3 linked regions of the Elephas maximus indicus genome follow. The protein of the gene in region 3 binds, or shares a complex with, the protein of the main gene of each other region. Links are inferred from orthologs where the notes say so. Each region holds a gene or a part of one and is shown on either strand. Other genes may lie near its edges.

Region 1 (9,644 bases), on a different chromosome or scaffold from region 3:
TTGTCACAGTGGCTGTAACAATGGGCTCAAACATAACAACGATTGTGAGGATGGCACAGGTCCAGGCAGTATTTAGTTATGTTGTACACGGGGTCATTGTGAGTTGGAACCCGCTCGATGACAACAGCAACAGCCTATACACAAATTATTATTGAGTTCTTTTACATTCTTTGGTTTTTTTTGGTACTAAATCTTTGAAATCTGGTGTGTATGTTACACTCACAACACATCTTAATTCAGACTTGCCACCTTTACAGGTTTGGTAGCCACATGTGGCTAGTGGCTGCCATATTGGACAGCGCGGATCTTGATCTTGAAGGAGAGCATAAAAGTTACAAACACAGTATGGTGTAGTCACACTCTGCCCTGCAATCCCATTTCTAGAGAGTTTCTTGCAATAAATCCTTGTGTGTGGACACAGGGCAGAGGTACAAGGGCACACTCATGTGAAAACACGCAGTGCAATATGAGCAGAAATAGTGGAAACCACCCAAAATTCCACCAATAGGGAAGTGGTTCCATAAAGCAGGTTTCAAACTAACAGTGGAACGATTATATTGTTCAAAGGGAACGAGGAGTTTCTGAATGCATTTACTAAAACATTCTGAAAAAAGAACAGCGATAAAGGATACAATTGGAACAACGTATGGGATTTGAATAAGGACTGCAGATTACATAATAGTAGTGTAAATCGCTATTACATTTCCTTATTTCGATAATTGTGCTATGGTTATGAAAGAGAATATCCATGTTCTTAAGAGATACACACTGAAGAATATAGTGGTAAATGCCCATGATGGATGCAACTTACTCGTAAATGATTCAGGAAAAAAATGTATAGATAGATAATAGATATTTGTAGTTGTTAGCTGCAGTCAAGTCAGCAACTCGTGGGGATCGTATGCACAACAGGACCATTGTGATCCATAGGGTTTTCATTGGCTGATTTTTGGAAGTAGATTGTCAGATCTTTCTTCCTAGTCTTAGTCTGGAAGCTCCGCTGAAACCTGTTAAGCATCATAGCAACATGCCATCCTCCAGAAAGGCCTGGCAATCTGTTTCAGTTAGGATTGCAGCCAAGAAAACCCTATGAAGCAGTTCTACTCTGACACACAAGGGGTCGCTATGAGTCGGAATCTACTGGATGGCAACAAACCAAAAAACCCACTGCTGTGGAGTCGATTCTGACTCATAGCGACCCTACAGGGTAGAACTGCCCACAGGGTTTCTAAGGAGTGGCTGGTGGATTCGAACTGCCAACCTTTTGGTTAATAACCATAGCTCTTAACCACTAGGCCACCAGGGTTTCCTTTGCCACCATAGATACGGATATACAGATAGGTACCCCACATACATAAATAGCGCAAACATGCTAAAGCACATAGAACAATTACTAACCAAGAGTCAGTCTGGGTGGAGGGCATACAGAAATTGCCTTTGCTATTCTCGTAACTTCTTTTTAAGTTTGAAATTACATTAAAAGAAAAAAATTATCCAAAAAAAAGCATTCTGAGAAGAGGTCCAGAGCTTCACCAGGGGCCCAGAGCATAGAAAATCTTAACTCATGATTTAAGGGGATATATAACTTGGATCCAAAATCATAAAAGTAAAGTGGGTGTCACCTGGCCTCCTGCGTCTCCTCCCCACTTCCCCCTCAAGCGCCTCCTTGAGGTCAGGTTCAACACAACACCATATTCCTAGGGTGCACCCTCAATCTCTGTAAATCCACTTCAAAATCCTTTCTGAGTCAGCAGATTGTACATTAGGTGCCCTGGTAGTGCAATGGTTAAGCACTCAGCTGCAAAGCAAAAGGTTGGTGGTTCGAACCCACCAGCTGCTCTTTGGAAGAAAAGCCCAGGCAATCTGCCCCAATAAAGATTATGGTCTAGGAAAACCTATGGGGCAATTGTACTCTGTCCTATAGGGTTGCTATGAGTTGGAATCGACTCGATGGCACACAACAGCGGACTGTACACACGGCTTCGTTCAATGGAACCAAAACTTGCTGAATAGCATACACCCATGTGCCCATCCCCAAACACAAATACCACATTTGTAGAAGTCTGGGCGATACATTCCAAACTGCTAGGAAGAGTTTCAACAGGGTGGCAGATAGGGGACTTTCAAAGCTTAATTTTTTGGGGGGGAGTAGTTATTTCCGGATTGTTGGAATGTTTGCAATGAGCATGGATTACCTCTGTAATGAAAAGAAAACTATTTTTTTCTTTTTAAATTTTGGTGAAAATATACACAGCGGGACATATACCCATTTGGCAATTTCCACAGGTACAATTCAATAACGTTGGTTACATTCATCACATTGCGTCAACGTTCTCGACATCTCTACCCATGTTATCTCACCACCATTCTTTTCAATTTTTAAAAATCGAAGTCGCCCTAGAGAAATACTTGGTTGTTGTTGTTAGCTGCCCCTGATTCACGGCGACCCCGTGCGCAGTGGGACAAGATGCTGCCCCGCCCTGTGCCATACCCCTGATGGGTTGCAGATTGGACTGTTGTGATTCGTAGGGTTTCACTGGCTGACTTTTGGAAGTAGATCGCCAGGTCTTTCTTCCTAGTCTGTCTTAGTCTGGAAGCTCTTTCGAAACTGGTTCAACATCACAGCAACATGCAAGCCTCCACTGGCAGGCGTGTGTTGGCTCATGAGGCGCATTGGCTGGGAATTGAACCTAGGTCTCCCCCATTGAAGATGAGAATTCTACCACCGAACCACCACTGCCTGTCATAGAAAAATATTTACTGTGGAGGAAGGAGGTGGATGATAGATCATAGGATTGCAAAACAGCGTGTGTAAAATGCACCTGGTTTGCAATCTTCAGTCAGCATCGTCATTCATTGTGATTGGCTGAATAATGGCCTCCGTGACGTCCAGTCCGAGTCCCCAGAACCTACAAATATATTACCTCACGTGGCAAATGGGTCTTTGCGGATGTGATGGAGTAAAGGATCTTGGGATGGTGAGATGACCCTGGATTATCTAGGTGATCCCCAAATGCAATCACAAAAAACCAAAAACCCACTGCTGTGGAGTTGATTCCGACTCATAGCGACTGTATAGAATAGAATAGAACTGCCCCACAGGGTCTCTCAAGCTGTAAATCCTTATGGAAGCAGACCACCACATCTTTCTCCTGTGAAGCGGCTGGTGGGTTTGAACTGCAAGTCATTCTGTTAGCAGCTGAGCGCTTAACCACTGTGCTGGCTAATTCTGGCTGGGACCAAATTCAAGGTGTTGTGTTCCTCATGGAGGAGAGCTGCTAGAACTGCCTTCCTCGGCTCATGGCGCCTTCCTCCATCTTCAAAGCCAGTAGCCTAGAGTCTTGCTTCAGACCTCACATTGCGTTCTTCTTCGTGTCAAATCTGCCTCTGCTTCCCTCTTATAAGGATCCTTGTGATTGCGTAGGCGCCCTGGCGGTGCAGTGATTAAAGTGCTCTGCTGTTGACCGAAAGGTCAGCGGTTCAAACCCACCAGCTGCTTGGGGGGAGAAAGATATGTCATTCTGGTTGGAAACCCTATGGGGCAGCTCTACTCTGTCCTACAGGGTCGCTATGAACTGGAATCGATGTGACAGAAATGGGCTGGTTTTGGTTTTTTGTGAAGACAGAGGCAGAGATAGGAGTGATGGGGCCAGAAGTCAAGGAACGCCTGGAGCCACCCGAAAGTGGAAGAGGCAAGGAAGCGTTCTCCCTTAGGGGCTTTAGAGGAAGCAAAGCCCTCCTACGCAATCACAAGGCTCCTTATAAGAGGCAAATGTGACACAGAAGAAGAACGCAATGTGAGGACGGAAGCAAGATGCTAGGCTACTGGCTTTGAAGATGGAGGAAGGGGCCATGAGCCAAGGAAGGCAGTTCTAGAAGCCCTCCTCCAGGAGGAAACTCAACGCCTGGATTTTGGCTCCAGCCTTGGTGGTGCAGTGGTTAAGTGCTTGACTGCTAACCGAAAGACAGGCAGTTTGAACCCACCAGCTACTTTGCAGAAGAAAGATGTGGCAGTCTGCTTCTGTAAAGATTACAGGGCTGGAAACTCTATGGGGCAGTTCTACTCCATCCTGTAGGGACACTATGAGTCAGAATCGACTCGACAGCAGTGGGTTTGGTTTTGGTTTTACGTGAAGGCAGAGGCAGAGACACACAAATCAAGGAATGCCTGGTGCTACGTGAAGCTGGAGGAGGTAAAGGTGGATTCTCCCTGACAGCCTTCAGAGGGAGCACAGCCCTGCTGACACCTGGATTTTGGTCTTCTGGCTTTCAGAACCGTGAGAGAATAAATCTGCATTGTTTTAAGCCACCAGGTTTGTGGTATTTTGCTATGGCATCTGTAGGAAACTAATACAGGATCCTTATTCTATCCTGGCTCCAGCACATCTCCCAGAGAACCAGAAAGAGGCTGAAACAGACAAGACACAGGTCCCATTTCCAAGTCAGACAATTGTGGCTCAGGGGGTGGCTTCTCCTACCAACTTTAGAACCCTAACTAGTTGCTGCCGACGTACGTTGACCTCTGTGTGCAGAGTAGAACTGTGTGCGCCATAGGGTTTTTAAGGCTGTTACTTTTTGGGAGCATGTTGCCAGGCCTTTCTTACGAGGTGCCTTTAGGTAGGCTCAGATTGCCAACTTTTTGGTCAACAGCTGAGCGAATTAGCTGCTTGCACCACCTGGGGACTCCTTTCAAAACTCTGTTGTGTTGTTGGGTGCTGTCGAGTTGTTTCTGACACAGGGCCATTCCATGTGACAGAATAGGACTGGCCCATAGGGTTTCCTAGGCTGAAACCTTTATGGGAGCAGATTGCCAGGCCTTTCTCCTGTGGAGCCTTTTGGTTAGTAGCCAAGAGCTTAGCCATTGTGCAATTAGGGTTCCTTTTCAAAACCCTAGGAAAGAAGATTTAACAGCAAAATGTGCCCAAGCACTGGGCCACCTCCTCAGACCTGCTTGGCTTCTCTGCACTTCAGAGCAACCTGGCTGGGAGGCAGGGGCCACAAACCCTGCTTCCCGAGGCCCCCGTGGGAGTCTAAGGTAGCTGGGTCCCTGGGCTGTGGTGCAAAGGGAAGAGAGAGCTCTAAAATGGGGTAGCCAAGGCACAGAAAGGGGCTGAACCCAGATTGGGGTGGGGGCCAGGGGGCTCTTCCAGCTGGCTTTCTCCTCTCTCATACCAGGGACTTCCTCAGTATTCCACGCCCTGTCCTCCCTCCTCTGACTGGGGGGAGATGTTCGGAGTCCCTGGGTGTGTGTGTGCCCCAGAAAGGGGGCCCAGCAGAGTGTCCAGTGCACAGACCAATCAGAACCCCAGAAAGGAAAGATGGTCATTTCCTCCCCGGCTCTCCGCACCCTCCCTTGGGGGTTTAAAAACCACAGCCCTTGTGGGCAAGAGGAACCTTCCCTCAGCGAAGAGCCCAGAAGACCAGAACATGGTAAGTTCAGAAGGAGCTTGGACATAGGAACTCTCTACCTTTGTTCCCTCATTTCTCGGCTCCTTTTTTCTCTCCAGCATTTTCATTCTCGTGTTTCTCCTTTTCTTTCCTCCCTATCCCCCTCCTCAATCACTCCTCTTCTCCCTTCTTCCTCATCTCAGAGTCTCGGACTCCAGGGCTGGGATGAAGTTTAAGGATTAAGGCTGTCAAGGGACAATGGGAGCCACAGCAACCCCACAGGGCTGGAGGTCCAAGAACATTTCCCAGGGAAGCAAACCCTTGAGTTGGGTCTTGTAAAAATGACTAAGAATTCCACAAGAGAAGAATTTCAGAAAGGAGTTCCAGGCAGCTGGAACAGAAGGGGCGAATGTTGGGAGGCTGGAGACAGCCAGCTTGGAGGCATGAAGATGTTACTCCCGTGGAATTTCATATATTCTCAATAGTGGAGATGGGGAAACTGAAGCCCAGGCCAGGGCAGAAATGGCCTGGGTCCTTCACAGTGGTTGGTGGCAGAACTGATACGTTCCTTGGATCCTGTGAGTCTCAGAGGGATGCTGTCCCCCGGTGCAGCGAGGGCCCCCCTTACACATCTGCATCCTGAGGTCTGGGGACCAAGCTGGGCAGGGCTGTGGGTTAGCACTTGGAGTCTCTCTCAGGTATTGCTTCATCTGGCCAAAAGGGGAAACGGAAAACAAGTTGGATGGACATGGGAGGGGTTTGATGTTGCTTCACTCTCCTCATCCCACCTTTAACATCCAACTTGGGCAAACAGGACTTTCAGAATAGGGCAACTTACTAGCTGCTGCTGCTTCTTCTTTTCGTCCTTTCTGTAAAATATTCCAAAACACCGAAGGGGATTCAGTGAAAATTCACTCTCCCTGACCACCCCTGAGCCTCAGACCCCTTGTCGTTTCCTTCAGATGTAAACACAGTGTCTTAGTTATCTAGTGCTGCTATAATAGAAATACCACAACTAGATGGCTTTAACAAAGAGAAATTTCTTCTATCACAGTCTGGGAGGCTAGAAGTCTGAACTCAGGGCTTCAGCTCCAGAGGAAGGCTTTCTCTGTCGGGCTCTGGGGAAAGGTCCTTGTCATCGATCTTCCTAGTCTAGGAGCCTCTCAGCACAGGGATATAGGTCCAAAGGATGTGCTCCCCTTCTGGTTCTTCATTCTTGGTGGTAGGAGGTCCCCCTCCTCTCTGTTATATTCTCTTTTATATCTCAAAAGAGATTCACACAACATACAACCTAATCCTGTTGATTGAGTCTTGCCTTATTAACATAACTGCCTCTAATCCTGCCTCATTAACATCATAGAGGTAGGATTTACAACACACAGGAAAATCACAACAGATCACAAGATGGCGCATAACCACACAATACTGGGAATCATGGCCTAGCGAATATGGCACACATTTTGGGGGGACAAAATTCAATCCATAACACATGGGTACCAGTTGGTGGTTGATCCTATCAATGGAGAATTAGGTTGTTTCTAATATATGAGCTTTAAAACTAAAACGGCAATGAGTATTCCTGTACTTATATCTTTGGACTTACCTTTGAGCTTCCAGAATTGCAAACACTGAATCCAGGACATGTGCAATTTTTATTTTAACAGATTACCAACATTGTATCAATTTATATTTCCCACCTATAGTGCCTGAGAGTGCCTGTTTCCCTATGCCCTCACCCACAGTTTTATCGCATTTTTTTTTACTTTTGCCAACCTGAGAGGCAGTTCATTCATTGCATCCTCAAAATACCTGGAAGCTTGTCTTTTTCACCGCATATTTTAAATGTGTTTACGTTTTTTACTGCTTCCAGTTCAGACCAGTTACTGTCAAGTTAATTCTTATTCATGGCAACCCCATGTGTGTCAGAGTAGATCCATGCTCCATAGGGTTTTCAATGGCTGATTTTTCAGAAGCAGGTCACCAGGTCTTTCTTCTGAGGTGGACACGAACCGCCAACCTTTCATCTAGCAGCCAATTTGCACCACCCAGGGGCTCCTTTTTTTGTTTTTGTTTTTTTCATGGTAATAGCTTTCTTGAAGAAGTCAGAGATGCTTTCTGAACATTTCAATAAGCCTGTCATCCTGCCTCAGTTTTTTTCTTAGTCTTTATTTCTTCTTAAATTTTATTGTGCTTTAGGTGAAAGTTTACAGTGCAAATTAGTTTCTCATTCAAAAGTTTATAAGCAAATTGTTTTATGACACTGGTTGCAATGTGTCAGCACTTTCCCCCTTTCCCTTTACACCCCAGTTTCCCCGTGTCCATTCAACCAGTTTTCCTGCCCCTTCCTACCTTCTCGTCTTTGCTTTTGGGCAGGTGTTACCTAGTTGGTCTTATGTATACTTGATTGAACTAAGAAGCACATTCCTCACATGTGTTATTGTTTGTTTCATCCCCCCCACCCCAAAACCAAACCTGTTGCCATCAAGTTGATTCTGACTCATAGTGACCCTGTACAAAAAAGTAGAACTGCCCCACTGGGTTTCCAAGGAGCAGCTGGTGGATTTGAACCGCAGACCTTTTGGTTAGCAGCAAAGCTCTTAACCACTGTGCCACCAGGGCTCCCTCCTGTTTTTTTCATAGGGCTGTCTAATCTTTGGCTGAAAGGTGGATTCTGGGAGTGGCTTCAGTTCTGAGTTAGCGAGGTGTTCGGGGGTCATAGTCTCAGGGGTTCCTCCAGTCTCTGTCAGACCAGTAAGTCTGCTGTTTTTTTTGTGAATTTGAATTTTTTCCTACATTTTTCTCCCGCTCTGTCTGGGACCCTCTATTATGATCCCTGTCAGAGCGGTCGATGGTGGTAGCCAGGTACCATCTAGTTGTCCTGGGCTGAAGCTGGGAGGCTGTGGTTCATGTAGTCTATTAGTTCTTTGGAGTAATATTTTCCTTGTGTCTCTGGTTTTCTTCATTCCCCTTTGCTCTGGATGGGATGGAACCAATGCATCTTAGATGGCCACTCACAAGCTTTTAAGACCTCAGACCCTACTCACCAAAGCAGAACATAGAACATTTTCTTTATGAGCTATGTTATGTCAGTTGACCCAGATGTCCCCTAAGACCATGGTCCCCAGCCCTCAGCCCCAGCAACTCAGTCCCTCAAGGTGTTTGGATGTATCTAGGAAGCTTCTATGACTTTGCCATGGTCAAGTTGTGCTGACTTCCCCTATATTGTGTGTTGTCCCAGGGACTCCTTTTTAATATTCAGGGATTTTTAATTACAAAGGTTGTGTGAGTTAAAGAAAATAAATATGAGTTGAAGGGGCCGCCCCCACCCTTGTAATTCATTTTTCTGAGGTAGCAACCTATAAGGATTTTATGCGGTTCTGTGCGTAGATTGTTAAAAGACATTCTGTCCACGTGGGAACAGGGGAGGCAGATGTTTAAGAAAAAAGCAGACCTTGCCTTTCATATGTCTCCTGGCTCTGACAGCGTTCCTAAGTAGGTCTGTTACTTCCACTTTAATGGGAGAACAGTTGGCAGGACTTTCCCCACTAGAAAGGCAGAGAAACTGAAGCTCATACAGGGAAGGGGCTGTGACAGTGTTTACCAGTTACTCCTCCCACACACCAGCTGCACAACTGTGCACAAGTTTTGTCTCTTCCCTGTGCCCTCAAGTCCTTCGTCTTTTCTCCCTCTTTTTGCCCATTACTCTAACCCAGGTCAACATCATCGTTCACCTGGATCCCCAACCCAGCCTCTTCTCTGGTTCCCCTGCCTCTGAGTTCACCTTCAAAGTGGCCAGAGGGAATCTTTCTAGATATAAAATTTAACCTAGCACCTCTCCAGCTAAAGGCCATCTATGGCTCCCTATTGCCCCAGGATAAAATACAAGTCCTTTAACATGGCATCTGCAGACCTTTCTAACCCCGTCTTGGCTACCTGCCAGTTTTGCTCACCTTCTTTCTTGTTCTGGTGTACAGTATCCTCACTCTTACCTTGGTACCTTCTGCCTAGACTGTATACCCTTCCTTCCTCCCATACTTTTGGCCTGCTAGCCACTCAAAGACAGGGCTCTGGAGTTCAACTCTTGGGATTGATCTCCTATCTCTGTTACTTGCTAATTGTGAGGTCTTGGAAAGGCCTCTCTCTTTTATTGTGCTGTAGGTGAAGGTTTATAGAGCAAATTAGTTTCTCATTAAACAATACACATATTGTTTTGTGACATTGGTTGCCAATCCTGCGATGTGTCAACACTCTCCCTT
Region 2 (9,356 bases), on a different chromosome or scaffold from region 3:
GAGTGATAAAGGGGCCAGGACTCAGGCTTAAGCAGGGGTGAGACAGTAGCAAAGGTGGGGTCTGGCTAGTTTGGGAGCAGGCAGGTGTGCAGGTCTGTGCAGGTGTGTGCGTGTGCAGGAGCAAACTGCTGGGTCAGGAGGCCTGGAACACACACTAAGCACTTGCTTTGGCAAGAGAACACCAACCAGTATTTGTGCAAAAAAGGACACCAGCGCCCTGCCCACTGGGGTGGGACAGCGTGGCTGGGAGCCCTGGACTGTCCCTCTGGGGCTGGAGCCAGGACTGGGGTAGCAGCCCCAGCCTACCATGTTCCCGTTCAGCCAGCACGGGTCCCCCATGCCCACCGCTGCAGTGCAGATGGCCTGAGGGAGGCTGCCTGGCCTTTAGGGTGGCCCCAGACATGATACGGCTCCTCGGAGGGCCATGTGGGGGCAGCATGGGTCTGGAGGACTCCTCACTTCCAGCAGTGCTCAAGGGAGCCATGGGGCTGGATCTTGAGCTTGTGGGGGCAGAGCAGCTTGGTGAAGGCGCGGCGGAAGCTGTAATGGCAGAGCGGATAGAGCACGGGGTTGACAGCTGAGTTGGCCCACAGCAGCCAGAAGGACGTCTCATACCAGTAGTCAGGGACACAGTGGCCATGACAGGCAGCGCGGATGATCATCAGGAGCGTGTATGGGGCCCAGCAGAGTCCAAAGATGCTCACGATGACAGCCAGGGACTTGGCCACCTTCTTGTCCCTTGACAGGCGGAAACGCTGGGTGATGCTCTGGGACACCATCTTCATGCGCTTTTCCAGCGACGCGGAGGACGCCGAGGGCTTGGGGCCACGCTTGAACGAGCGAGGTCGCTCTGCACCCCTTGAGGAGCTGCCTGAGCTGGAGGTGGGGGAGGCTGTGGCGCCTCCTCCCCCACTGCCACCCCCAAGGGCCTCCTCCCCCACATCGGGGCCAGGGGCCGCCTCACTGACCCCATACCGGTGCAGGGGCAGGGCCTCCCCGGGCCCCTTGTGCCAGCAGCCCCAACAGCTGGGCCGGGGCGGGGGCGGGGAGGGCTGGGCCTCGGGTGGGGGCTCCGGGCCGGACGCCTCTCGGACCCCATCCAGCCGGACACGCGTGCGCCTCTGGATGTTCAGGTAGATACTGAGGTTGAAGAAGGTGACACTGAGGAAGGGTGTGAAGAACTCCAGCGTGGAGGCCGTGATGAGGAAGTACCAGTTGTAGAAGAACTCGGCGTAGCAGTGGCCCTCGGGGATGGAGCTGCCGCCGGACAGGTACTCCCAGCTCAGGATGGCCGGCCCATACAGCAGGAAGGCCAGCACCCACACCAGCGCCATCTTCTGCACCGCCCGCCGTGTGTCACCCTGCTGGGCCCGATATGACACCTGCGGCGCGAAAGTCAGCAGGGACAGGGATGGTGCCCAGGCCAGTCTCTGGCATCTGTGCACTGGCCTTCCCCTCTCTCTGCCCCCTTCGGGGCTCAGCTCATAGTGCCTCTGCCAGGAAGCCTCCCGGGCTTTCCCCAGAACCTCCCCCAGATCAACTTGAATCCTAACTGTGCTTGGCTACCTGTTGACCCCTCCACCCTGGCTGTGAGCTCCCTGGGGTTCTGGCATCTCCCCAAGTTGCCAGCCCCCACCCTGCCTCAGCTGCACAGGAGGCGCCACTCAGCATCTTGTTCCCACATGAGTGGGGCTTGCAGAGAGAGGCCTGAGCCACTGCCAGGGGAGGCCCAGCCCAGCCCAGCCCTGTGCAGACGCTTTGCATGTAGCTCCCCAGGGAACTGGGGGGCAGGCAGAAGCCAGTGCCAGCCCGTTCCTGGGCAAAGTCCCATTCCTGACATGCACAAAGCATCCTGGAGCCACACCAGGAGAGCTGAAGGGAGAGCAGGAGGACGGGGCAGTGCCCAGCAAGTCCTCCCCAGGATCCAGGCAGGGCATGGGGCACTGCTCCTCTCAAGTACAGAAAGCAAACAGCTCAAAAGGAGGGAGGGTGGGACATGGCAGATGTCTCTGCTCTGTCTCAGCCAGGCCAGGCAGCATCAGCAGTTCCCCCTGGAGGGGCTCAGCAGAGGGAAGCACTTTATGGATATTATCTCATTTAACCTGCCCAACAAAGCTATTATTATCCTGGCTTTCCCGATGGCTGGGGAAGGGAGTGGGGAACCCAGGTGGGCCGGCTAAGGAGGGTGGAGCTGGGGCTGCAGCGAGATCTGTCTGGTCCACCCTGTGCCCTCTGTGTGTGCTCTGTCCCATAGCTTCTTGAGGCTAGACGGGGAGATACCTCCCCCGGCAGAGGGGAGACCCCTGGGAGTGCAAGGTCGAGGGGTGATTTCTGCTCCAGCCCAGCCGGCCCTGTGCCCAGAATGCACAGGCAAAGAGAACCCAGGCAGCCTCTTGGCCCTGCCTCCTGGTTACCATGGCTGCCACTCAAAGAAAGGGAGGACCACAGAGCCAGGGCCACTGCCTGTCTGCCAGAGTGGTGTGTGCATGTATGTATGTATATGTATGCACGTATGTGTGCAGGGGCATGTGTGCATGTTCTCTGTGTATGAATATTGTGCAACATCTGTGTGCAAGTGTGCATGTGTGTGTCCGTGTGTTTGTGCACATGTGTGCAGGTGCATTTGTGCACTGTGGATGTGTTTGCACGTATGCATGTATATGCATGCATGTATTGTGCATATGTGTCCATTGTGTGTGCATGTACACTGCACGCACGCATGTGGATGTGTGCGTATGCATGCACATGTGCAGGTGTGTTTCGTGCACCTGTGTGCACACATGTGCGTGTGTTTGTGATTTGTGAGTATGTGCATGTGTGTCTGTGTATGTGCGTGGCAGGGCGGGAGGTGCAAACACAGGTCTTGCCAAGGGCTTCTGACCTCAGATCCTCCTTCAGCTTCAGGACTGTGCACCTGCCCTGATGGTGGTTGAAGGGACCCTGCCATCAGGGCATCCGATTCTGGCTCCAGAACCCCAGGACCAGCCCTCTGGCAGCACATGGCTACTGAGCAGCCAGTCATCAGGTGTGATGAGCACCACTGAAGGACTCAGGACATCACCTGCTGGGCCCCTCCCTGTCCCGGGACTTACCGCTCTGGTGACTGAGAGGAAGCGGTCGTAGCTGATGAGCACAATGTTGAAGACAGACGAGGTACACAGCAGGTAGTCCACCACCAGCCACAGCTTGCAGAGGCCCCGGCCAAAGGTCCAGCGGCCGGTCAGCACATAGGGCACATACAGGGGGATGCAGAAGGCACCTGGGGGGAGGCACAGGGAGGCCACGCTGGACAGGGGCCGTGGACAGTGCCGGCCCAGTGGAGGGACCTGGGCGTCTAAGACCACAGCACTCACCTTACCCTCCCCCACACCTGGTCTCCTAGGGCACACCCTCTGCTCTGTGTCTGGTCTTCATTCAACTCTTGCCCCCTCCCCACTGGTGACCCCTGGATATGGGGGCAGGAGGGAAGGTCATGGGGTGTTTGTCTAGATGGAGACTCAGAGCCTGGAGTTGGGACTGGGCTTCTGTCCAGCCCTCCCCAGCCCCCAAAGGAAAGAGAATTTCCTCCTCCTCCTCCTGCCCGCTGGGACCCAGCCCCTAGCCTGGCCTTGGACGGCCCTGAGCATCAGCTCAGACACTGAGAAAGCTGTTCACTGGCTTATAGGGCACTTGGCTGCCACATTGGCAGCCTCTCCCTCAGGAAAGCCGCGCTCCTAGCGTCGGCAAGACACCTCGCAGCCACAACAGGTGTCTGGCGCTCGGCCCCCTCGGCGCCCCGCCCCCCAGCCGGCAGCAGAGTGTGGGCACGTGAGAGTGCGCCGCTCCTCTGTGCACCCCCGCCTTTCTCGCGGCCCCCCTCCCCCAACACGGCTCGGAGAACCGCTCTTCCGTATGCCCTCCCCCAAACCTCCCAAGACCCTCCCCCCTGAGCTCCGCGCGTCCTGAGTCCCTGCAGCCTTTGTTTGGCCACGGCGCCGAGCCAGCGCTGCATCCGCCGCCGCTGCGCCCTGCGCCTCGCTGAGTGCCCGTCGCGCCGGCCCTTCCCTGGGGACACCCCCAGCACCCTTCCCCAGCCTGGCTGCCGGCGGGGTCGCGTGCCGAGCGGGAGGCGCCCGAGGCGGCTCGGGCCCAGGTCCCGCAAGCTGGCATGTGGCGCGGGGGCTTTACCCACGAGAAAGTCGGAGATGGCCAGGTTGAGCAGGAAGAAGTTGTTCTGGGTGCGGAGGCTCGAGTCGGCCACGAAGGCAAGCATGACCAGCGCGTTGCCCAGCACCGTGGCTACAATGAGCAGCGCCATGAGCGCGGCCAGAACCGCGGTCCAGGCGGCGGAGAAGCTGCGAGCCCCGCCCGCCGCCGCCGCCGCCGCCGCCGCCGCCGCCTCACCCGCCAGCGCCCCCGACTCGTTGAGCGACCCGTCGGGCGGCGCGCGCTCCATGGCTCCCGCCGGCTCACGCGACTTCGGGCCGAGAGGTAAGGCACGGGCGGCGGGCCGGACGGCCGGGAGGGGTTCCGGGCCGGGCGCCTCGTCCCCCCGGGCTCTCGGCCCGGTCTGCTTCCCCGAGGGTCGCCCGGCGCATGGTCCGCAGGCGCCGGGACCGAGCGAGCGAGCTGCGCCGAAGAGCCCGGGCCAGTAGCCCGGGCCAGCAGCGGGCGCCAAGCTAAGCAGAGCCGGAGCGGCGCGGGAGCGTCCGTGCGCCCCGAGCGCAGCGCCAGCGAATGCGCCCAGCGCGGAGCCGGCGCCCCCCACCCGGCGCAGCGCCGCCGCCATTGGCTGTCGCCGTCGCCCCGCCCCCGCCCCGCCCGGAGCCGGCAGCACCACGGACAGCGCCGCGTGCCATCGGCTGGCTGGAGCCCGACGCGGGGCGCAGGGCCGCGGCTCGCGGGGCCCTGGGTGGGCAGGGCCGGGCCGGGAGCTCGCCTGCCCACCCGGCCAGCGCGCGGGAGCCGGTCTCGGGTCGTTCGGCCTACCCCGTGCCCTTGGCCCCGGTGACCCGGCTCAGCCCTCGTGGGGAGCCCGGCACTTGTGGGGACCCACGGTGGGGGTGGGGGCAGAAACGCCTTGCTCCCGCGCCCAGGGAAACGTGCCCTGTGGGTGCCCTCCCTGTCTCACGCCTCGGGCAAGCGGGTCTCCGGGGGTGGAACGTCTCAAGAAGGAGAGGTAGGGAGGGGGTCTCCGAGAGTGGGTCCCCGGCCAGGTCCACCCCCAACATGTGTCGGACTCTGGCCTCAGTCTCGCTGTGGGCAGGGCCCGGCGTAGGGTCCAGGGTGACCTGTCAGGCGCAGACAGATGTTCAGTTACATAAGGGAAGATGGGGAGCCCAAGCGGCCCAGCTGGGAGGGGAGCGCGCCCACCCCGGGCTCAGCGCCCCCAGTGGAGAAGAGAGCCAAGGGACTGCAAGCCGGGCCGGGACCCCCGCTGGGCAAGAGGAAAGGCGGTCCTTGCTGCAGCGGACAGAGGCCACTGGGCTCCCGCGCTGCCTGCGGCGGCGGCTGCGCCGCGTCGACCGTGTTAGCCCCTGCGGGAAGGGAGGTGGGGAGGAAGCGCCCCCCACCCCCGACACAGCTCAGATAGGGTCAAGGACAGATGCAGCCTGAGACACTCACGGTGAGACAGACAGACACACCCACACTCAGACACACAGAAACCCACAGACCAAGGAAACAGTCACCCAGCGTCAGGGACCACAGTGGCAGTTAGACACACATCAGACAGCAGACAGCTAGGCAACAGAGCTCGGGAGGGAAGCTGCGGCTCCCTCTGCCGCCAGTAGCACACACTGGCAGCAGCCTTGGCAGGACAGGCTCACCCCAGTGCCTGGGGGAAGGAGTGGTAAGAGGGGGGGTCCACAAGGCTGCCACCCCTAGGTGGGAAGTCAGGGGGCTACAGATTGGACCCTAGGCACAGGCACACAAAGCACCCCCATACTTTCAGCAGCCCCTGAGTATGGGGGGCCCACCCCTCTGCCAGCCCCAACACATGCTTCAGAAACTTTGGGAGTGGGGGGCTGGGCTCCCTCCACTCCCTCGTTGGGCAGGGGCTCCTACCTGCACACACCCAGGAAGGAACCCCCAGACCCTCAGCCCAGCCAGCCCATGATTTCCTGGCTCTCTGAGCCTGTGCTGGGAGGAGGGTTGGGGACCCCAGTGCCTCCTTCTGCCCAAGAGCCCTCTTGGGGTGCCTGGGTCCACTCATACCCTGCCACCAGCAACCTTGTTGCGCTAACAGCCTCCCCACTTTCCCTGCACCACCCCAATTTGCCTAGCGGTGGGACAAGTCGAGATGGAAAGTTCCTGGAGCTGGGCAGCAAGGGTGATTGGGCCCCCTGCCCCCCATCATCCTGCCTCCTTAGCTGCTGGGTCCATGCTCCAGCCACCCCATCCTCAGCCAGCAGCTCCCTGCTGAGTGGGCCCTCTGGGCCCACCCCTGCTCTTCCCCAGTGACCTTGGTAGTGCTTTGCGGGACCCACCTGAGGCCTCAAAAGGCAGGATTGGATGGGGGTAAAAAGGGGGCTCCAGCTCTCTTGCTCACTGGCTGAGAGCCCCCTCCCCCACTTTGTGTCTCCATCCTGGAATGGGAGTTCCATAGTACTGACCACCCAGGGCTGAGGGGAGGAGTAAGAGGGAGGAGAGGCAGGCGGCCCTGGCTGCTCTCCTGTGACTATTGTAATTCTAGGTGGGAAATCTGTAGAGGAGCAGGATTTGGGGACATTGTGCCAAAAACGATGTGCCCTGTGTCGAGATTGAATTGCCAGTGGGATGTTCTAGGGGAGAGGTCAGAAGGGCATTGGGGTTGGGTAGGGGAGCTTGGGCTGGAAAAACAAGCAGGGTGTTGCCAGGATCAGGCCAGCAGGACGCGGCCCCAGGCATTCTTCCTTGTCTTGGGCTGTGGGCCCTGCCGCCAGCAGCTTGCCTTGATGGGAACACTTTACTCCCTTGAGCCAGCTGCATGTCCTGCTGTGCAGGGACATAGCCACTTATGAGGAGTAATGAGGGGCCTCAAGAGCCAGCGGCAGCACACTTGGCCTGCTTGTCACACCAAGGCAGCTTCCTGGCACCTGTGGGGCTTCCGAGTCCAGCCTCGATGTTACCTCCATGGAAGCTGCTGTTTGCTTTCTCTCCCCTCCCCCCCACCCCCGGAGGAATCATTTGAATATGGGAGTACAAAGTTTTCTTTCTTTGTTCCTTGTCCCTGCCCCCCCCCCCACCCGTGACATTCTGAAGCAGCTCTGGGTGCATTCTGGTGAGCTCAGGGCCCAGTGTGATCAGGATGGCTCCCGAGGCTGCGGTTTGGAACAGGAAGCAGAGCAGAGCCTGCCTTTCCCTCCCTACCTTTGGAGTCAGGGCAGAATTGGGTCTGGGGACATGTGACAGGCAGAAGATAAGGCGGAGTGAGATCTTCTCCAGGGTCCCCAGTTGCTGCTGAGCAGGAGACCTCAAGCACCTCCATCCTGAAGGTGTCGCTGCTCTGATTTGGCTGCAAGTAGCAGACACCAGCTCAAAAGGGCCTGGGGAAAATGACTGCTTACTATTGCCCAGGGCTGGAAAGTGCAGGGTAATGAGTTTCAGGTATAGCCGCATCCAGGAGCTCTGGGAGAGCTGCTTCTCCCCACTGGCCTTTGCACCATGCCCATTTTGTTCTCAGGCAGGGAGTCTCTTCCAGGTCACAGCTGTCCCCACGGCTGCAGGCTTCTTTCCTGCCTGCTCGTGAGACTCAGTTTTCTGGGGTATGAAATGGGCTTCCCAACATATCCACCACAGAAGGTCAGCATGAGGAGCCATGCATCACTCTGAGGGCTTGATAAATATTTGCTGAGTGCCTGAAATGAATTGCACCTGAGCAGGTCCTGCTGCATAAGTGATAAAGGAAATCATGGAGGAACAAGGAAGGGAAGCGAGAAAGTGGTCCTCTGTTTGCTGCGCCTTCTCCAGAGCCCTCAGCCCAACAGACTGGGAGGGGCAGGGATGGCTCTGAGCCCCACCCAGCTGTGTGGGGGCTGGGCCTAGCCCCAGGTGAGCCTCCACCACACACAGGACTGTGGGGGCTGTGACCAGACAATGCCACAGTGGGTGCTACCGGGGACCTGCCCCCAGGTACCAGAGTTCATCCTGAATCCAGACCTGACAGTTGATATTAAACTCCTGGGGGCTACCAGGCCTGACCAGAGGAAGGCCAGAGCGACCCAGGGCCCTGGGGCTGGAGAAAGTAGGCAAGTTGGGGGCCTGCTGCTGGAGCAGGTGGAGGTGGGAGGGGCATGGAATCAGCACAGTACTGGGGGGCACTCAGTGGACAGGCCTCAGCAGGGCCCTGGAGAGCAGAGGGTCAGCCATGCCTCTGTGCCCCCAAGGGTGGGGGGGTCTGTCTGGGGTGGAGGAGGGGTGGCCCACTGGGCTGGGTACCTTGGGGTGGCTCTGGGGAGTTTGACTGCTGTGTGGCCATCACTGGCCATGCTGCCTTGCTCCATCCAGGGGTGAAGTGGAAGCCAACAACACCACCCTGACCTCAGCGGCCCCCAAAGGCCCAACTCTTGCCTCTGAAACCTGGCAGAGTCTCCTTCTGTTCCCTGCCCTTTCCTGGGCACAAACCCACAGGCCCCACTCTCCTCCCAGGGCTGTCCAGGCCTCCCCCATCATGCCACTGACACTGGGTCCTGGACAGTGTGTGCGTGCGTGGGTGTGTGCATGTGTATGCATGTACATCTGTGTGTATACATGGTCCCAGCCCCTGAGCCTACATGCAGGATGCTGGGCACCTCTTCCTCCCAGCAGGCTCCCCTCAGGGGACCGTGGGGGTGCTCTGGGCAGGGTTGGGGCTCAAAGAATTGCTTCCTGGGGGAGGAGACAGGAGAGTCCTTCCACTGCCAATCCCTGCTGCAGGTGCCTCTCTGTTTACTCCCCAAACCCTCGGGACCAGCAAAGTTCCTGGAGGAGCTGAGCCTGTCAGAAAAATAAGGAGCCCAACAGCGCTAAGTGCTGGGGACACCGAATCCAGTTAATGAAGATGTCCCCAGGGTCCTGCAGGGTGGGGACCGGGTCTGAGGGACTCCCAAGGAGGGGGCGAGTTGTGTGTGTGTGTGCATGTCTATGTGTGTGTGCTTGTCCATATGTGTGTGCATGTGGGTCTGTGTGTGCCGGTCTGTGTGTGTGTCTGTGCATGTCTGTGTGCATGTCTACGTGTGTGTGCTTGTCCATATGTGTGTGCATGCGGGTCTGTGTGTGTGCCTGTGTATATGTGTATATGCGTGTCCATATGTGGGTGTGTCTGTGTGTGTCTATATGTGTGTGTGTCTGTGTGTATGAGTGCTTGACCTTCCCTCCCCACGACCCTGCCCCCACACTCTCCCGGCCCTCTGCTCAGC
Region 3 (9,544 bases):
CGCAGGGCAAGAGAAGAAATGCCTTGATTTCTGACTTAATCATCTCAAACCTCAAAGGCTTCATTTTTCCCTCCTTAGTGTACCCAAATATGTATCAATACGAGACACGTAGGACTTTCCCGGGAAAGTTTACATACAACCTTAATTTAAGATTTCTTGCCCCAGTACATAATTAGGGGTTTTCATTTTAAAATGGCACACCTATCTCCTGGGAGAGCTCAGCTCTCTTTGAATGAAAAGCCGAGGTAGGTAACATTATCCTTCGGGGGACTCAGTATATATTTTTAAACTTCTTATTAAATCAACCTAATTTACGGAGCATGTTCAGGGAAAGCTGGTAACGTGTCGCTTTGGCGGATGCAAAGTTAATTTGCGGACTCTGGCATGCCCCCCGCCCTTCCCCTCCCTGCCGCGGAGCGTTTCCGAATGCTTTCGGCCCCCTCCGAAGCGACTCGGCTCTCTCCGTCAGGGCCCCGACTCGGCTCCGAACACTGCCGAGTCCCTCCGAGCCCCGCGCCGAGCCGAGCCGAGCGCAGTCGAGCCGAGCTCCATCGACTTTTCCGGCCTCGGCTGGGCGCTGTCCACCACTCGCAACGCCTGAAACCTCACCCAGCGCCGGTGGCTCGGCTTCTATCGGGCTCTGTCTGAGGCTGCCACTGCAGATTTACAGACCTCTGAAGTTTTGACGCGTTCCCCTCGGGAGATGGGAATGGCGCTGCTTGCATTTACCGACCTGCAAGGGCTCCAGGCAGATGCAACATGCACCTTGTTGCAAAGAGCAATTCCCCAGGCCCCGCCTCCTCATCCATTTGGGTTGCACAAGCTTTAGAGAAGCCCCAGGCCAAATTGCCCGTGGGGTGCGGCGAGCCGAGGGGGCCTCTGCGAAGAAAGCCCGAGGGAGCTCTCGAGCAAAAATAAGAACATGTCAAGCAGATGGGGGAGATTGTCTCCGAGTCGCTACTACCTACCATCATGGCGCCGCCTAGAACCCGCTTGTCATGCCTGTTACACATGCAAGATTTTTTGCATCTTGGTTCTTCTTAAATCGCAAGCATGCTTCGTTTCCCACCCACCTTCCCACGAAAGGGGTTTTTATTTTCCATTGTTTTCCTGCGGGATGCAATTACTTCTGCTATTCTGTCAAGTTGAAATATAATCATTTTTGTTTACTGCACAGCAACCCCTAATTAGGAGTCGTGTGTGCACGAAGGTGTCACAGCAAAGAGACGTGGAATCCTCGCTAAACGGTCTTAACGAACTCCTTCGTCCTGAACTGACAGGCCAAGGGAAACTGCCAGGCCAGGAGGCCCCGAGGGCTTGCACCCCTTCCCCACCAGCCACCCCCTCCCCAAGCAGAGCTGCCCAAGAGCTCACCAGGAACTGCCAAGTGGAGTGGGCAAGAAGCCAGCCTGAGAGTGGGAAGGAGGGGCGAGGCTCCTTATTGAGAAAGTGTAGAAGAGAAGCAATATCCCATTTTGTTTTAATTTTCAACCATCACTCAAATCCACCTCCAGTTAATTAGGAGGGGAAACTGATATCTAAGGCAAAAGGGGGCGGCGGCAAGTGGGGCCTGAAATCCGCATTGTGGGTAGGTTACACGGAACACGGCCTATGCAGAGTGTAAATAAACACAATGATAAAGGCCACAGAGTGATCGAAAACTGCCGGCGTCAGGAGAGCAAACGCTGGGAGGGTGGGGGCGGAGAGGGACCGGGGGCAGCAAGGAGGCGGGCATTAAGCCTCACACCAGCGTCCCCTTTCCACCTCTGCCTTGGATACAGCTGTGCCAGTCACATCCGCTTGGAAACTCACTCCCTTCCCCCAACACACGACCCCTCCCCTAATTCTCGTCCTCTGCCCCCTTCCCCACCCTCAACCTTGGCGGTGGAGAGGAAGAGGCAGAAAGTACAGCCTCCAATTCAGCACCAAATCCAAGAACAGCAGACACTTGATCCTGCACCCCAGTCTAGGGCTGGGTCCCCTCCATGTTTTAGCCAAGTTCAAAATCAGTGCCCCAGGAGAAGAGCAGGGGAAAGTGGGATTGTGGACGAGAGGGGGATGGGGGGAGGAGGAAGGGGAATAGAGACAGAATGAAACAGAGATAGAGACTGAAATGGAGCAGAGAGACACACGAAACACCCCACGAGCAGGAGTAATATCATAATCATGCCAATAGTGTGATGTTCTGATCAATATGGCGGACACTGTCATTCATATAACTACAGGCGCTTCCCCCCCTCAAAAAAACAAAAACAAACAAAAAACCCACCCACCCTGGAGTTGGAGTGGAGGACCCCAGAACCAACGTAGGGTGTCGGGGAGGGGAGCCAAATCGAGGTGTGTGTGTGTGTATACATGAATTAAAAACCAGGCCTGGAGAGCAATGTGGAATGAGCAAGGTAATGAAAATGATTTTAAAAATTATTCTTAATAAAAGTACAAATCCCAATGCCACAGTGACTTACTTCATTTGCTTCACAATCGTGCTTTTTCCTGATTCTCCAGCCCCTGTTGGGACACAGACAGGAGGGGGGAAAACTGGTGAGTGTCAGCTTAAGGAAACAGGGGGAGTAGAGATAAGGCATGCTGGGGGTCGGCGACCCTGGGCACATGGTGGTGCCCATTTGGGGACCAGGTCTCCCCGGGAGCGGGTGGGGTGGGGGAGGTGGCTGAGGGAAGTGCGGAGTGGCCGGGGTCGGGGAATGGGGGTGGCAGACGTAGCCCTTACCCAGCAGGAGTAATTTCACGTCTTTGGCGGCGCTGATGCCATCCTCTTTGAGGTTTTTCTCAATCGCCTTGCTCCGCTCGAGGGCGGCTCTCTCTTCTGCACTCAGAGTACATCCCATGGTGGCCCCTTCCCTGCCACAGCCCGCACGACTCGGCTGGCACGGCTCCCCGACTCGACGAGCCCCCCACCCCCCCGGAGAGCAGAGCCTGGCTCAAAGGGGGAAAAAAATCCTCCCCTTGGCTGAAAACAAAAATGTCGGGAGACCAGAACTCCCCCAAAAGACCGCCGCTAACAAATTTCAGCAACGGAGACTCGAGGCAGCTGGCAGGGGTCTGGAGGTGTTGAGACGCGGGTGGTCGGGGTCTGGGGTTCCGGAGCCGAGGGAGGAGGCGGCCGCGGGCCAGGGAGGCGCGGGCTGCAGGCACTGAGGCTTGTGCACCACCCAAAATAAATAGAATAATAGTCGAGGCTGGAGCCGCAGCCGGAGCCGGCGGAGGGTGTGGTGGGGGGCAGGGTGGGTCCTTCTGCCGCTGCTGCCGGAGGAGGAGGAGGCGGCGGCGGCGGCGGCGCGGGGTGTGGAGGGAGTGAGTTAGGGGGTGCCGCTAGTGCATGTGCATCGCCGGCCCTCCGCCGTCGGTGCGTCCGCAGCGCCGTCGCCGACCCCCGCGCGCTGGGCAGGGCTGGGCACGGGGCCGGGCCGGGGGCAGGTCTCTAGGGGGCGGCGGCGCTGCCTCCCAGAGCTCTCATTGCTCGGTGGAGCCTACCAGAGAGAGACGGAGAGCGCGAGGGAGTCGCGGGCAGCCGGGAGCTCGCGGGGGAAGGAGAGAGAGAGAGAGAGAGGCAGGGAGGGAGGGGAAAAAATGAAGGGAGAGCGGGCGCGCGCGCCAGAGCCCAGGCAGCGACGGGGGGTGGCTGCGAGCGCAGCGCGCGAGTGCGCCAGCGGCTCTGCGCACCCAGCACCGCGAGCCGCCCGCTGACGTCAGCAGGGCCTCGCGCTGGGCCCTCGGGACTGGGAAGGCTTGCGACGGAGGGCGGCGGGGGGAGGCGCGCGCACCGGGCCCGCGTCAGTTCGTGGCGGCGCGCGCGCGACGCGGCCTCCCCTCCCCCAGCACCTTCGGGTCTGCGGCTCCCCCGGGGCGGGCGCGTGCGCGGCCGGGCAGGGGCGGGGCCTGAGGCCGAGAGCGCGCTCCGGGGAGCCCCGCCCCCGCCCCGCGCGCGGACTGCGCGGACCTCCTTGTCAATGGGAGCGCGGGGCTGGGTCGCCGGCACGGCGGTCAGGTGGGCCCCCCCTAACCCGCCTCTCCCCAGCTAGCGCCCCGCGCGGCCTCTTTTTCTCTCCGGCTCCCTCTCCATCTTGTCTCCAGCCGCTCGCCTTCTTGGTTACTCTTGGGCTGCTGAGGCCGTAGCAGCCAGTTACCTCCGTAAACGGGTGGAGGTAGTGGGTCTGAATCAACCTGCGTTCCGGATGATTCGCGTCAACGGCCCAGGCCACTGGGCAAATTTGGGTTTTTCGTTTTCTGCGTTACACAAGCATTTATTGAGCACCTAATATGTGAGAGGCAAGGCTGTGAGAAGCACACGGCAGGATGAAAAAAAGCCAGGGCCTGCTCTCCAGGGGCTCCTCCCCGCCTTGCCATCGCTGACCTTGCCTCAGGGTTTCCCGCCGTCACCAGGGCAGGAGAGTTCCCACACTCGGGAAGCTTTGGAGAGGGACAGATTCTAATGCAAGCGTGAGCTGCTTGCAACTGCTTGCTCCCTGAACATAGTTGAAACGCTTTTGCACATTTCGAATGACTTAGCTTGGTTGAGGTCTGTGCACGAAATCTCTCGTCCTGCCCCGGCCACAAACACAAAATGCATTTTAAATATTTTTGGTGAAAGAAGAAGAGATTTTCTTCTTTTATCTTTCGAGCCATTTTTTCCCATCTTAAATAAAGACCCAGAAACCTGGGTCAGTTAACTCAATGAATCAAATATTAAGGAAACAAGTACAAATTTGCCAAAGATTGGGCCTGTTCTGGGTGGTCTCTGAGACTTTGAAGCAGTTAATTCTTACTGCACAAAATGGTTTTACAATTAGTTCCACCAGACAGCCCCAGGGGCCCTTCTAGAGAAAGGGTCCGAGAGGAAAGATTGTGTGGGAATAAGAACGAGTGGCCAGTGGGAACTGTTTTTTCTAACAGTTGGGCATTTCTGTGGCTCTGAAAGCAAACTCAACAATAGGAAAAAAAACCCCAAAAAACTCCAGTTTTGGAAATGTTAACCAGCAAAAAATACATTTGCAACAGGGAAAGAAGGCAGTTAAGGCCCACCCAGAAGAAAATATTTTTCCCCTGAAATTTCATATTTTGTAATTCCCGGGATGGGTTTGCCCCATTCTACAAATAGCTGTTGTTGTCCAAAGTTGTCTGTAATATAATCTAAAGTATTTAAATTTGAATCACATTTTATGTATTCTGAGAAACTGACAAAGAAACCCTGTAAAGAATTGTCTTAGGAAGTAAATAACTGCTTCCCTCATCTTCCCCTCATTTCCCTCTTGGATGTGTGTTGGGGGGCTGGTGGATAAATCCGGTTTGCTTAAAATCATGATATTACTAAAAATCAGGTTTCCAGATGCAATAGAGAAAGTTCACATACCCAACATTCAATAGAACTTATTTCCTTTAAACGTTGGTAGGACAATTACGCAGATCTATCACATGCAGAGGAAAATAGAAGCAGCCTCACCAGGTACTGTTATCCCTACAAAGATGCATCTGAAGAACCGAAGAGGTAAGAAAATAATTATTTCCTTGCAGATGGTAGGATTACATTTCACGTATTAATGCTTTTCTGTATCGAGTACTTTTCAATTTAAGCTCTTAGGCTCATTACGGTTTGTATGACTGAGTCAAATGATCCTTGGTATTAGACTTAGTATGGTGAAAGCACAAACCGGTGTTTCTCTTTACTCACTCAGTACTTATAAGCACCTACTTACCATGTATAGGGTAATGTTCTAGGTATTATAGGTGTTGTATTTCAGGTTTGTCTCTCCTGTTTTCTTTTTCTGGGCCACTTTGCATCTTTATAGCTGAGCTATATAAAAGACTAATAATAATCCGCTTCATCTCCATAGTGCTTTACAGCTTACAGATCACTTTTGCAAAAATGACCTCATGTGATCCTTCCCCAGAAACCTCGGTTAGGCACTGTGGTGTTGGAAACATCACCACTGAGTGGAAGGAACCTAGACCAGAATCCAGATAGATCTGGGTACCCATTTTAGAGCTGAGGAAGCTGAGCCTCGGAGGAGTTGAACTTGTTCAAGGTCACAAAGTCATTAAGTAGTAAGCCAGTGCTCCTTTTATAGGTCTTTGGACTAGTTGAGAGAGAGCATGTTATATAAATATTTCACGTATTCTCCCTAGACTCCCAGAAAGCTCACAACCCCAGAACCCAATCATATTCTGGTTCCCCCGGAGAAAGGGAGAATGAGAACACCTTGTTGCTCTGGTGTTGTCAGTAGTTAGATAATACCACGACAGCGGAATTTGTCGTGATTCCTGCAGCAATGGGGGAAAGTACAATCCTAACATCGGGAGTAGGGGACACTGAGACCAGGGGCGGATTCCATTTGCTTTGATTTTATATGATCCTTAGAATTATATTTCTCTGATTGTTGCTGTTGGCCAGAGAATAACTCTCATTTACCCTCCCCTTAGTCAACCATCCCTCTTGTCTTGCAACACTGTCCAGCATATTTTTGATTTTAAAAGTTGGTGATTAGAATTTTTTATATACTCCCTAAAAGGTGTGTCAACAAAGCCTACATTAAGTTGCTTTTTTTACTATAAGTGGCTCCTAATTCTGGAGAACAGTAATTCATGATGTAAGCAAGGTTCCCCAGCTCTGACGTACAGAATGTAAGCTCTGATTAGATGAACAGAAATTCTCTATTTGTTCCCTTTTAGTTGATTAATTCAATTAAATATGTATTTATTGACAATCTAACAAAAACTTGAAATTTTGAAATCCCTGGAATGGCTTCTCAAAACCATTCACATCCTAGTCAGCTGGGGTGCTTGTTAAAAATTCGGATACCCAAGCCTGGTATCGTTTCTACAAGGCAGACCCTTGTGCAGTCTGCATTGATAGCAGCTCCCCAGATGATTCGTCTGTACAGAAAGCACTGGGTCTTATATAGATTCCATACGTGCCAGTTAATTCTGCTGGGAGCTGAGCTTACTTTCCCCAAGTCCAGATATCTCACATGTTTCTGAGTTCTCCAACTTTTCTTCATGTTACTAGTTTCTTGTATTTCTGTCAGAGAGGAAAAATTATGAAGAATGCTATTCTTTATGAACACTGTCATAAAGAATGGGAAGAAAATGGGCTAAAATGAGTGGTTCATGATCTAAATGAAGCTAAACTGTCAAGTGAACTAGACATTTTAGGAAGAATGGTAGATCACTAGAAATTTTAGGGCTCTCTATTAATGGTTTTTATTATAAAATTGATAGCTCAAAACCCAGCTTAGTGGTGAGTATAATTTAGAAGAATGCCTGGAAAAGGCTAAGAGATGGCATTGTTTTCTGATAAATATTTGGTACTAATGAGGGACGATGCTGATGAATATTTTGTGTGTCCCTAGAAGACAGGCCCCCTGTTTAGCTCATATTCAGCACTCGCTTGACTGATATTATTTTGTACACTTCCTCAGACCTAGTAGACCAGTGGTTCTCAGACATTACTATGCATAAGAATTACCCAAAATGCTTTTTAAAAATGCAGATGCCGAGGTCCCATCCCTAGAATTTCTGAATCAGCAAGTCTGCAGTGGAGCCTGGGAATATTCATTTTTAAAATTATACACTGCCCTCCCAAGTGACACTGATGCACTTTGGGAACCACTACACTGAATTGTAAACTCCTTCGAGGTGAAGGAGTTGTCTTATCCCTTTGTGTATGTTCCCAGAAGTCAGGCATCGCACAATGTCCGGAAGGTCATCAAATTTTAATATTTGTTAATGAAATTTACGTGTCCATAGGCAAGGACTCATTCAAATAATTGATCAAAGTTCTTCCCAGCTCTGAGCCTTTGATTTTTCAAATAGAAATTCGGTGACTCGATGATTCTAGAAAATTATTTTTAAGATTGGATAAGTTAAAAAAGGTAATGGCTTACCTTGAAGTAAGGTTCTGAAAGATGAAATGATATTGATATAAAACAAATAAATGGGAGGTTCATTAGTATTTAGGAGCTTGTGAGAAGAGTATATGCTAAATGTTTTTTATTGTTCCCATCAGATAATTCTTGCTAAATTTTACGTCCCATCTGTTACTTGTAGAGTTCATGAAAAAAAAAAAAATTTCCTTATTTATAGTTGTTAAAAAAAAAATTTTTTTTTAAATAGTTGTTAGGGGTAAAAAAATTCCCAGAGAAGAAATAAGGGACTTGTACAAAGGAGTGGATTAAGACTTGTAGGTAATTGAATTGAGCTCTTAAGTTACTGGAGCCCATTATGTGATCACTGTTGAGAACATCATTTGGTGAGTGCACTTTGATGGTTCAAGAACCCCAAAGAAGGTGTGCTTTGTGATTTTTCTCAATTTGGGATACCAAGAGAATCCTGCAGAGACACATTTGGCTTGAATGGAGCAGAAAGTTGGAGGGGGCTAGGGCTAGTGCTTTCATGTTGATGATAAGATTGACCAATAGCTGGAACTGAAGTTGGAAGCTTGGCTTAATATGAAGGCATCTTAACAGCCGTGGTTCCCTGTTGGAATTTTCTTGGAAAATCTTTCATCAGAAACCAAGATTCTTATTCGTTAGATGGGAATAATAGTATTTTCAACCTACCTGGGTTGGAGTTGACAGACAAGATTAGCAGGTCCATGTTTGTAAAGTACTTAATAGTTATTAAGTCCTTCAGAAGATCGGAGATTTCCTGACATAAAGATTTCTTACGTTATTTATCATATTTTCTGTCTTCATAGAGCTTTTCACACATGCAGCTCAAACATCTTTTAGACATTATCTCATTAGACTCCTGTAAGCTTCAAGGTCCAAAGTCTTCTTACCACATTGCTCTTTACAGATAGAGCTGTTTTTGTTTGTTCCTGTCAGCTGTTGTATTTGTGAAAACAAGAAGTAGGTGAATTTTATCTGAATCCAGTTAAAACCAGTTTGAACTGGCTGTAAAAAGTGTGGGGTGCCTGGGGTAGGGGAGGTTATCGATTAGTTCAAACTTATTAGAAGTCTAGGGTTCTCTTCATTCTGACCAGACTAGACTGGTTTAATTTTATGACTTGTCTGCACCCTCTAAAATACGTGTGGTTTGGGGTATTCCCAAAGTCTGCCAAGTATCAAGAACATGGCATTCCAATGGGACAACATGGTTCTTCACTTGAGCTGACATTTAGGCACGTCATCAGTTCCCCAAAGGCCTGGAAAACCCTGACCCCTGTGGCAGAAAAATATATTTGTATGAAACTCCTATGTCTGTGATGGAGCACATCTATAAAATTGAAGAAGGACAATTCAGAGAGAGACACATTCTCAACAAGACACATATCCCATAAGGCTTTTAGCTAGAATCATTAAGTGCTTGAAGTAGGAAAGAACAGAACTGATTTTCCTCTCTAGCTGTCCCTGCAGTCCTCTGCCTTTCCACCTGGCCACTGTAGCCTTTGGAGAGGACTAAGAGTAGAAGAAAGCAAAAGGGGGAGGGAGGAATCTGAATTAGTTATATCCAATATAAATTAAAAACAGGAATGTTTTTCAAACAAATGACTGAAGAGAGGACGTATACAGATATTAATAAAAACACT

What was found. The genes of interacting proteins can lie anywhere in the genome.
Region 1: the proteins of GNAO1 (region 3) and C5AR1 are in contact, whole or in part, in a cryo-EM structure (PDB 8JZP), measured with the Homo sapiens proteins. The link is inferred for Elephas maximus indicus from reciprocal best matches to the Homo sapiens genes GNAO1 and C5AR1. Residues at the interface, in NP_066268.1 of Homo sapiens: Ala31, Lys32, Lys193, Asn194, Leu195, Glu318, Tyr320, Phe336, Thr340, Asp341, Ile343, Ile344, Ala345, Asn347, Leu348, Arg349, Gly350, Cys351, Gly352, Leu353, Tyr354; in NP_001727.2 of Homo sapiens: Asn71, Phe75, Arg134, Leu137, Val138, Pro141, Ile142, Gln145, Ile225, Thr229, Arg233, Ala234, Thr235, Arg236, Ser237, Lys239, Thr240, Val243, Val244, Ala303, Gln305, Phe307.
Region 2: the proteins of GNAO1 (region 3) and HRH3 are in contact, whole or in part, in a cryo-EM structure (PDB 8YN7), measured with the Homo sapiens proteins. The link is inferred for Elephas maximus indicus from reciprocal best matches to the Homo sapiens genes GNAO1 and HRH3. Residues at the interface, in NP_066268.1 of Homo sapiens: Ile28, Ala31, Lys32, Asp33, Val34, Lys193, Asn194, Leu195, Asn312, Pro315, Asn316, Lys317, Glu318, Ile319, Tyr320, Phe336, Thr340, Asp341, Ile343, Ile344, Ala345, Asn347, Leu348, Arg349, Gly350, Cys351, Gly352, Leu353, Tyr354; in NP_009163.2 of Homo sapiens: Asn69, Asp131, Arg132, Ser135, Val136, Ala139, Val140, Tyr142, Arg143, Ala144, Gly147, Ile221, Ile225, Arg228, Arg232, Thr345, Phe348, Arg349, Arg352, Val356, Leu360, Cys415, His416, His417.

What each region holds. Positions count from the first base shown.
Region 1 is NC_064829.1:101,633,852-101,643,495, reverse strand, and holds the start of C5AR1 (C5a anaphylatoxin chemotactic receptor 1), read left to right. Parts: upstream 1-5,209; 5' UTR 5,210-5,226; coding exon 5,227-5,430; intron 5,431-9,644.
Region 2 is NC_064843.1:5,727,948-5,737,303, reverse strand, and holds HRH3 (histamine H3 receptor), read right to left. Parts: upstream 4,436-9,356; coding exon 4,168-4,435; intron 3,260-4,167; coding exon 3,093-3,259; intron 1,383-3,092; coding exon 456-1,382; 3' UTR 234-455; downstream 1-233. UniProt on the Homo sapiens protein: The H3 subclass of histamine receptors could mediate the histamine signals in CNS and peripheral nervous system. Signals through the inhibition of adenylate cyclase and displays high constitutive activity (spontaneous activity in the absence of agonist).
Region 3 is NC_064839.1:23,234,650-23,244,193, reverse strand, and holds the start of GNAO1 (guanine nucleotide-binding protein G(o) subunit alpha), read right to left. Parts: upstream 3,597-9,544; 5' UTR 2,847-3,596; coding exon 2,729-2,846; intron 2,509-2,728; coding exon 2,466-2,508; intron 1-2,465. UniProt on the Homo sapiens protein: Guanine nucleotide-binding proteins (G proteins) function as transducers downstream of G protein-coupled receptors (GPCRs) in numerous signaling cascades.